2 linked regions of the Arabidopsis thaliana genome follow. The main gene of each other region encodes a partner of the protein of the gene in region 2 in a complex. Each region holds a gene or a part of one and is shown on either strand. Other genes may lie near its edges. A codon is read from its position in the direction of its gene.

The links. Proteins that work in one complex are often made in the same cells at the same time.
Region 1: the proteins of MYB66 (region 2) and EGL3 are in contact, whole or in part, in a crystal structure (PDB 7FDL), measured with the Arabidopsis thaliana proteins. Residues at the interface, in NP_196979.1 of Arabidopsis thaliana: Gln77 (codon at 1,422), Glu78 (codon at 1,419), Leu81 (codon at 1,410), Arg84 (codon at 1,401), Lys87 (codon at 1,392), Leu88 (codon at 1,389); in NP_001185302.1 of Arabidopsis thaliana: Tyr81 (codon at 3,477), Leu84 (codon at 3,468), Ser85 (codon at 3,465), Val120 (codon at 3,360), Ser123 (codon at 3,351), Phe124 (codon at 3,348), Ser153 (codon at 2,713), Leu160 (codon at 2,692), Leu161 (codon at 2,689).

Annotation. Positions count from the first base shown.
Region 1 is NC_003070.9:23,597,716-23,603,713, reverse strand, and holds EGL3 (basic helix-loop-helix (bHLH) DNA-binding superfamily protein), read right to left. Parts: upstream 4,302-5,998; 5' UTR 4,064-4,301; exon of another isoform or gene 3,911-4,063; 5' UTR 3,906-3,910; coding exon 3,787-3,905; intron 3,599-3,786; coding exon 3,326-3,598; intron 2,778-3,325; coding exon 2,681-2,777; intron 2,576-2,680; coding exon 2,504-2,575; intron 2,422-2,503; coding exon 1,684-2,421; intron 1,563-1,683; coding exon 1,143-1,562; intron 1,052-1,142; coding exon 980-1,051; 3' UTR 550-979; downstream 1-549. UniProt on the Arabidopsis thaliana protein: Transcription activator, when associated with MYB75/PAP1, MYB90/PAP2 or TT2. Involved in epidermal cell fate specification. Negatively regulates stomata formation but promotes trichome formation.
Region 2 is NC_003076.8:4,762,825-4,766,468, forward strand, and holds MYB66 (myb domain protein 66), read right to left. Parts: upstream 2,000-3,644; 5' UTR 1,915-1,999; coding exon 1,770-1,914; exon of another isoform or gene 1,506-1,769; coding exon 1,376-1,505; intron 1,169-1,375; coding exon 832-1,168; 3' UTR 548-831; downstream 1-547.

The DNA of each region.
Region 1 (5,998 bases), on a different chromosome or scaffold from region 2:
ACAAGCTATAGTCATACTTCTACATACTAAATATCAAGGTTTACACACTATATACCGAGGCTAATACATGATATAAACCTCAACTTCACCAATTCATGGATCTTCTTAATGGCCACCTACCATGCCAACCAACCCATTAAAGAATTTCCACTCTTTTTAAGTTTCGTTCTAAATCAAGAAATTGTTCAACACAATTTCTAACCCCACATTATGTGTATTTTCAATAAAGTTAACCTCTTACTAAAATGAGAGTGTTACTTTGATGCTACCAAACGAAATCCAAATACAGTATAGTCCTTGTGCTTACAATTTTCTTCCTTTCTTTTTGAAATAAAAAGTTAATGTTAAAATGGTAACACATGTTGAAGTGAGATCTCAGTGGCGTTAGATGCAATTATTTGAAATGACATTACTTCTTTTCTCTATAAGGCAGTGTATTTTGCGAACACTTTTATCAGCTTTTGACCACCATTTCTATCTTTAACTTTTCTAAAAATATTTTTTTAATTTCTTACATAACTTTTCTAAAAACATATAAAGAATATTTGAAGTGAGATTGAAGACTTAAGATACTGGAATCGGGCTATGTAGTATCTCTTTAGATTTTACTATAATGTTTTTGGTCGAACTTGAACTAGTCACAAAATATGATCTCGTTACAAATACTTATACAAAAGTTACTTTCAACAACAAAAAAAAAGTTCTAGTTTACTTACTTTTAAAAATGATAGTGCACGAACTACTACGAGTGGTTTTCATATTTCGCATAATTGAATTTCATAGTATGCTAATTGCTAAGTAAGTAATTTCTTATTGTCTTCTCCTACGTAATGAGCCAAAAGGAACGATTTTTCAAGAATTCTTAAGGATCTTCCAAAACTTCAAAATCACAAAAACTCGGTTAGAATCACTGATTACCGAAAATTGGGAAACCAAACCAGAGAAAAAGCTAATTTTGTCAAATCTAAACCTTGAATCCTTAACATATCCATGCAACCCTTTGAAGTGCCTCTTGGATCATTCCTGTTGTTGCTATTTTTGTCCCTTTATGCTGCAATCAACATTAAACATTACATATCACATTTCGGTTTGCTCATATTCCGGTTGAGTAACATAAATCAAGCTTGGTTTAATGACTGTACCTTGCAATTGACAGTTAAGCAGAGTAAACCGTCTCCGGTTGACGACTGAACCGAGTGAGAATCCAAGTTGAGATCACTAATCACATCCATTATCTCAAGCAATATCCCTTCTCTCCAAGCGCATCTAAGCTCAATAACCACCTCGTTACCTAATGAACTGATCCTTAAGTTATCCGTTAGACCAGCATAACCGATATCAGCTGGTTCATCTTCTCCTACATTCACATCACTCCCCTTCCTTTTGCTGTTCATACAATTCGCTGATGCTCTTTCCTCCTCATCATCCGGTTTCTTCCTCTTCATCATCGTTATCCGTGTCTCTGTATCAGCAGATTCTCTACAAGATTCCAACTCTTGAACCCGTTTCTGTAAATCTTGAAGATACTCAATTGTATCATCAAGAATCGACACTTTATCAATCTGTAGAATCAGCAAGAGACTCAAGCTTAGTTCCTTCAGAGCATTATATTTAAACATGTCTTCCTATTATCAAGAAATAAACATAAAACGTTACTGAAACAGATTTGCTAGAATCGGTTACCTTACTAATTGAGGGAATGATTGATCTCAATGTCATAAACCGTTCATTCAATTTCTCGCGGCGTTTCTTCTCGGACAAGGCATGGTTCCCGGTTTCCTCTGGTGTGTCCGGTAACAACTCTTCTTTCTTGTTCATCAAAGGAACCTCGAAGAGTATCTTCTTTATCATCTTCTGCGATTTCTCTCCCAATGTTTTCACAGATGATGATCGCTTCCACCTTGTGAAGCTAGACCGCTTATCGAAGTTCTGAAACTGCGGTCCGAGTATTAGCTGATGCGTTGTTTTGAAAATCGTCGATATCACGCCTTGGTAATGAACATCGTCGTCCATATTTACATGGTTACTCTGTTCTTGAATCTGACCTAACCGTTGAATCCTACTCTTCCTTGGATCGCAAGCAAGTCTCCCGGTTGTTCCAACAAACGTTTGGGAAACGCAATCGCTTGAATTTAACGATTGGTGAATGCAGTTACTGATTTCTTCACCCACAAACTGCCAGCTTTGTACCTGAGACGCACCACCATCGTTGATGAACGAATCATGATCCTCAGGTTCTTGCTCAAACCCGCTAGTAGAAGTTGTTGGAAAAGCTTCGGTTATAAACACCGGAGTGTATTTATCGTCACTTAAGGGATCAAAAATTTCTTGATAGTCTGATCTTGTCGATATTGTAGTATATGGAGGAGCTTCAAGGAACAACGTCTTAACACTTTGTATCACGTTCATGTCCTCTTTAATCTAAAAGAACAAAAGATAAGTTTTGGGTACTTTTAAGAATGTTTTGATAGTGTTGGAAAAAAAATAGGAAATATAGGCTTACATGTTCGGTCGTGCCAATCTCAAGGACTCCTCCAAGAAACGGGAAGCAAACCACTGTCTGAAGCGAAGCACTCTTTAAAGAGCAAAACGCCAAACGAAAAAAAAAAAAAAAAAGAGCGTTTTCAGTTATAGCGTTCTTGAATTCTAGCGTTAGCGTTTCCAATTGCAAAAAACTTACTTTAGCTAGAAGAGAACGAGTGAAGACTTTGCTATCGGCGGTTTCAGCGTTACAAAGCCATATTGGTTCTCCATTGGATAACGCTCCTCCGGGGATTCTACATTAGAAAGACGGAAATACCCTTTATGTTTTGTATCTCAAAATCTTTATCTTAATGGGAACAAAAGTTTTCTACTACTTTCTTTGAATAGCAAATGTATAATGCAATTATGCAAATGAAGTAAAAACTTATTTCCGTTGTGCTTTCGCATTTCTATCTATGTATGTCTTCTAAGATTAAAAAGAGGTATACTTTAAAAAAACCTACAAACATAAAAAAAATTAAGTAAATATAAAGGATAATTGCATTGTTAATAATTAAACTCGTACATGTCGGATTTCTGAATAAGCTCACATGGAAGAAGAAATGAAGGAGACAAGCTAATAAAGGGTGTTCTTGTCTTTTTTTATGAGACAAAATAAAACATACCCTTATACTTTTTTTTTAGAATTTTGGTATCGTTTACATTTTCTTATAATGTCTACGAATAAAATAATACTATAATTTAAAAACGATATTCTTCATAAAAGAAATTTTTCTGAAAGATAGGTTTTTGTTTTTAAAAAAGGTGAAATGAAAGGATTATGAGGAAGAGACGGAATTACCCTTCACCGATGTTGAAGACGAAAGACATGCATACTAAGTAGTACCACTCGGTGTCGGTGAGGTCCTCCGGTGAGAGAGCGGCGGCGGAAGCTCGTCTAGTGACCTGAGAGCTACCGGAAGCTGAGGATTCAGCGAGGGAGAGAGATTCATAAAGCTCTCTAAGCTGCTCACTTCTCTCAAGACCTAACTGGTCAATTTTGACTTCTGCTGCTTGAATCGTCTTCCTTGTCTTTATGTCTCCATTGTAATATCCATCTCCCCACTCCAACACTCTTCGTTTAGAGAAAACAAAAAAGATAGCCAAGAAAAATTGGATTAATCGAGAAAACATAACAAAAATCGAAATCTTGAAGTAAGGATAAAGTTTTATCTGAGTTTTGGACTAAAGTCAAGAATGTCTCAAACAAAACTTTATTTTCAAGAAAAGTTAATTTGAAGGATAAAGATTACGAGATTGTACCCTGGTTGAGAAGCAGAGACAGACCAGAAGATTCCATAACTCCATTGAATGTTTCGAACTGAAACTGCGAGCTGTTTCTTTAGATTGTCCGGCACCGTTCTGTTTTCTCCGGTTGCCATTGTTTCTTCATCCCCATGTAACAAACAAACGAACAAACAAAGATCAGATTTTTTGTCAAAAACAAAACTTTGTTGTCTTTGAATAAATCAAAAGAGAAACAGAAAAAAAGCAGAAGTGATTTAAAGGTTATGACTAGTCATGAGTTAGTGATTTTTACATGACATTGGTTTGGTTTCCTGAGGAAGAAAGAAGAAGACAACAAAACCCAGAATATATTTATTTTTTTTAACCTTCTATAATGGGAAAATATTAAATATTTGTGACTTTCAAGTTACTATCTGTTGTGGTTGAATTGAGCTTTGAGTTGAGAGAAAAGGACGGTGTCCGAATGACCAAATCTCTTTATGGATACTTATTTTAGGTGTGTGTACACTGTATATAATCACAAAACACTGAACTTTACGAGGAATTTTAAATAAATATATATAAAACAAGATGGTAAAAAAAAAAAAAAGTAGTGTCTAGTGTATAACCCTTTTGAATACGGTGTTCCAAGCACCACTCTCCTTTTGGAAATTTATTTTTGTTAAGAGAAATTAGTTATTTTTCCATCTCTAAAATCTTTTTTCTATCAATGATATGTCCTATTCTCTACGTTTCATGATAAACGATGTTCTGAAGAAATTTGTTTGTTTCACAATATAAAATATTTTCAAGTTTTTATGTAAATTATAGATTAATTTAATATTGTATACATATTTATATTATGCATCAGCTTTTATAATCTGCTGAATTTTTTAAAAAATATTTTTTAATTTTTATATTTTTAATTAAAACATCTTATATTTTGATTTTTTAATTTTTATATTTTTATTTAAAACATCTTATATTTTGAAACGGAGGAAATAACTTTTTTTAGTAACTCATAATATAGGTCTTTAGACTTTAAGCAGAGTTTGAACCAAAAAAAAAATTCATAGGCATAACACTTACAAATCCAACCAAACCAATTTGCCACCCTTATAAGCAATGTTTATATGTTACTGCCTTACTGGTCAAATATATACACAAATATTAACTTGATTTTAAGATAGAACAAATCCTAATGGTGAAACACGAAGAAAGACATGAAATTAATGTTATGCCTCGAGGAGATACCCTGGAGAGAGAGACAAGCTTCTAGTATTGACTAAATTACGTTGTATGGTTTAACTAAAATATAATATATACTATGTTCATTGAATATATATATTCTACATTGTTTTCGAATCTTCGGAAATACCATAGAACATTTGTATAATTGCTAATTAATTTTCTATGCACCTTCATTTTAATTAATCGCAACCTCGTAAATTATTTGTATTAAAGATGCGTACACGAGCCAATTATATATGGAGTTAGACAATAAGGTTATCAAGAACGAGTGAATTTGGGATCTAAAGATAATGTAAGGTTTAGTATTCTTCCTTGACTTCAATTCTAAGGTAAGGGATTGATAATGGGTTTAGCTATGTAACAACCTATGTTGATCAAAATCACGAGAAAATGATATTTAAATGAGATGATTAATAAAGAAGAAACCAAGAGTCATTATTATCATATGCTATGTGCATGCTCTTAATTAATTCTTCGCATCTCCCAAAATTATCACCCCTAACTAGGACTACTTGTCGTGTCTGTACGTTGAAAAACGGAGTCAGATATTGTTTATTTCATGTACTAACTGTATGATTCATAAAACATAATAACCTGATAAATGAAGATTTGTACATTTATATCAACGTGAACGTCTGTGTTTTCAGTAATTTCTTAAATAGTTTTTCTTTGCTGATTATTTTTTTCGTTACTTTCCTAAAAGATATGTCATCTAGTTACACTGTGGTCATCGTGAACACACGCAAACATTAGATTCTGTAGCCTATAGTCTCCGGCTCTCAGCTCAAAAAGGGTCATTTTGACTTTTGCTTAATATATATAATTTGACTATAAAAATGTAGTGAAATACTACAATTCTGGACAGTACTTCTAATGCATTGGACAAAAAACAAAAAAACAAAAAAACAAACTAAATATACACCTCATTTTGTTACACATATGACATATTAACCATTAGCTAGTACACAACTAATAAATCTTTCATTATAATATCTAA
Region 2 (3,644 bases):
TACATGACCAACATGTCCCCATGTCGATAATCGAAAACCTTCCTTTAGAATTAGAATATATATACTACTATAGTTTCATGCATTGTATATAACTGTCTGAGCAATTATAATCAAGGAAGGAGTGGGGGACAAGCTTTCAAAGAACATATTAAAAACCAAAGACACAGAACATAAATTAAACTATTAAGAAGGGGGACAGCTTTGTCATAGCAATTTATAGAATTTTTTAGGGAAGTGTGACAATTTGACCCATTATATTGTCTGACTAGTATTAATTTTGTTCGTTTCAAGTAAACTCGCCAGGGCAATCAAGGTTTCTGTCTAATTTCTCGTTTACATACACATTAGCATCGTTTTAACTACAATCGAAATTTAGTTGACAAAAAGGTACGTAGTAGTATCCACTTAATTGGAAATTTCTTCTTTTCAAATTTGAAGATTAATTAAGGGACGTACGTCTCAAAGTAAAATAAAAATAAAAATAAACTATACTCCTTCTAACCTACCGTTATCGTTCGACTCTTTTAATTTTAGCTTATATCTTGAACCAACATTTAATAAGATTATATGAACAATTCACAAAAGAAAATCCAAAATTTTGCTTAGGAAGAAATTGAAGAAACATTTAAAACATTAATCGATGCATATAGAGTTTTTAAGCATATACATTAGAGTTAACCCAAGAAAGTTCACCTAATTAATAGACTTAGCCAATCATACACTACCACATCAACAACTTTTAATCTAAGACTGTTGATGTATTAGTGTTTGATCAGCTTTGAAAATAACAAAACATAAACGAATACTAAAATAACAAAAGCAGAAAACACATCAAAAACAGTGTCCATCTATAAAGTCCATCATGTTGGTGAGTGTGCTAAGCTCAAACTCATCCTCATGAACCCAAAGTGAACTCAAGTAGTTACTTCCTTGATGATCTTCTTGAATTTCATCTCCGAGGATATTATTGTTATCGACAATATTCGAGATTTTCGTTTCTTCTGATGTTTCGGTAGGATTCGGGAGATTGATTTGATAAACAATATCACCATTGCTCTGTTTGGTTTTCTGATCTTTGATTCCGAGTTTCTTACTAAGATGCGTGTTCCAATAGTTCTTCACTTGATTATCCGTTCGACCCGGCACTCTTTTAGCAATTAAAGACCACCTAATTAAACACACAGATAAACAATATAATTATCATGTGAAATATAATGTATTGAAATTTTGAGAATAAAAACATGTGTTACCAAGCAAGTTTGTGAAGACAATCACGAATATTTATGATTATTTAACTTGATACAAAATGGATAGAAATAGCTGTTTTTATGATTAATTGAGTAGAGAAACTAATTTTGAGCAAATGAAGTTATACCTATTACCAAGCAACTTGTGGAGCCTAATGATAAGATCCTCTTCTTGCTCGGTGAAATTGCCTCTTTTCACATTAGGGCTGAGATAATTCATCCACCTCAATCTACAACTCTTTCCACATCTCTTTAAACCTAACACACATATACAATTATTTAACTGAGGACCTTAATTCATAAAAATAAAAACAACAAAAAGGTGACCCTAGATAAATATCCTGATTCAAGTTGCTTTTGCGATATATGGACTCTATTAACATAGATTAAAAGTTAAATCTAAAATAACATATATAATATATAGAACCTTAACTTTAAACCATTCGTAAAAGAAAATCATGTGACAAAGAATTCATAAATTATGTCAATACGATTAGAGAGAGAGATAGAGAGGAAAGAGACCAGTCTTTTTGGCAATACGATTCCAGTGACCTTTGCCATGAGCTTTGACATAATCCATGAGGATTTTGTCTTCTTCTACTGTCCACAAACCTTTCTTGTACTCATTGTTTCCTTCGTCACCACTACTACTTACTTTCTTTCTCATTCTTTTTGTTTCTTTGAATGATAGACGAGAGAGATCATAAAACGAGAGAGATAAAGAGGTTCTTTTGAGTAGTTATTTGACGGAGTTATTAATAGTAGTACTACAAGTTCAGAACCTAGTGGAATATTTATGTATAAAGTATGAATAATATTTAATAAACGATATACTATTGGTATAAATACAAGTATTAATGATTATAGACTTATTTTAGATATTGACATAAGGTATTGATTGTGTCTAGCATGTGATGATGATATGTAAATAATAATGGACTTCTGAGATGCAAGCTGGTAATTACTGATACGGATTAGTTTAATGACTTAATCTAGATTTCTAACTAAAACATGAAAACATGGACCGGTTAAGATGGTCTTGGGAGACACAAAAATCACGTGTATGTTTTAAAAAGATTCGGCTTTGATCTTAGAGCTTTTCGGCATCGAAGTTTCATGTGTCAGGGCTAGTGTTTATATATCTTCTTGAACCTTGATTAATTGAAATGAATCATAAGTATTTTTCTTTTTTAAGAGATATTAGACCGAAAATATCAGGGACACCATTATAGTTAAACTTATGAAACCCAAAGTGTTTTGAGACCATTGCAAAAGACTAGATACACATCGCAAATATAAAGGAGGTTGTGAAGGTTCTTGCCGCAACCCATTGGAAGGTGAGAAGGATAGTAACTGGCTGGCTCTCATAGTTCCATCAAATTTTTTATGTATTGTTTCTCAACTAACCATTAATTATAATAGTGTTGTTATTTTCATCAAGTAATAGTAGTTGTTCGTTTTGAAGTTTAGATACTTTATTTATGAGATACCAAGTTTATATGACATCCTTTATCAGAAAATACATTGATTAGAAAATGAAATGCCTCGTCATTTTTTATAATTATTTTGTAGAGTGATACCCTTGGACCAACGTCCGGGAATCTTGGATTAAACGATTTCCTAGAGTTAATTTTGTAAATTTGGTTACTAATTAAAAAAAGAAAAATGTACAATAAGTAATTGATTAGTGGCATGAGAGTTAGGAATTGTAGTTAGGGGAGATATTCAATTAGAAGATGGTTTGACACTTTGACTCTCTTGGGATTAGGATTCTTCACGGGGAAAAAAAAACAGTGTTATTGTTAGAAAGAAAGAGAGAATAGAAGCTCCTTCTCTTATCATTAAAATTTCTTGATCTCTGTGCCCCCACCAAATATCTTTAATTTACGTATAGATACTATTACTATTGATTATTGAATTTATAATCACGTATATTGTTCATATTTTTTTTCTGTCACATAGCATGTGCGATGGATATTTGAAATTTCCAATCTGTGTTGTAAGCAAATATTAACTTTGTTTGAAAAAAAAGAATTTATTTTGTTGATATTTTTGCTATTGTACATCTTGTTTTGCTGACTTATTTATTCAAGATTAACAAAATGATTTTCTTTTCAGTAATTGACTATATCAGTAATCTTATCAGCAATATGACAAACAATAATAATAAGATCCATAATTAATATTTTGCATCCATAACTAAGAATTAGAGTTTTCTGCATACAAAATTCGAATGATCTATTTGGGCATATCACATATCCAATGATACTTGTACATGGTTTTTTTAAAAAAAATATTTCTTCCTAATGAAAGAAAAACAGAGGCAATGATATTTTGATATAGCTGGCACATTTAAAATTCTAGACATATTAAACTCTTAACGCTGGAAGTTGAGGC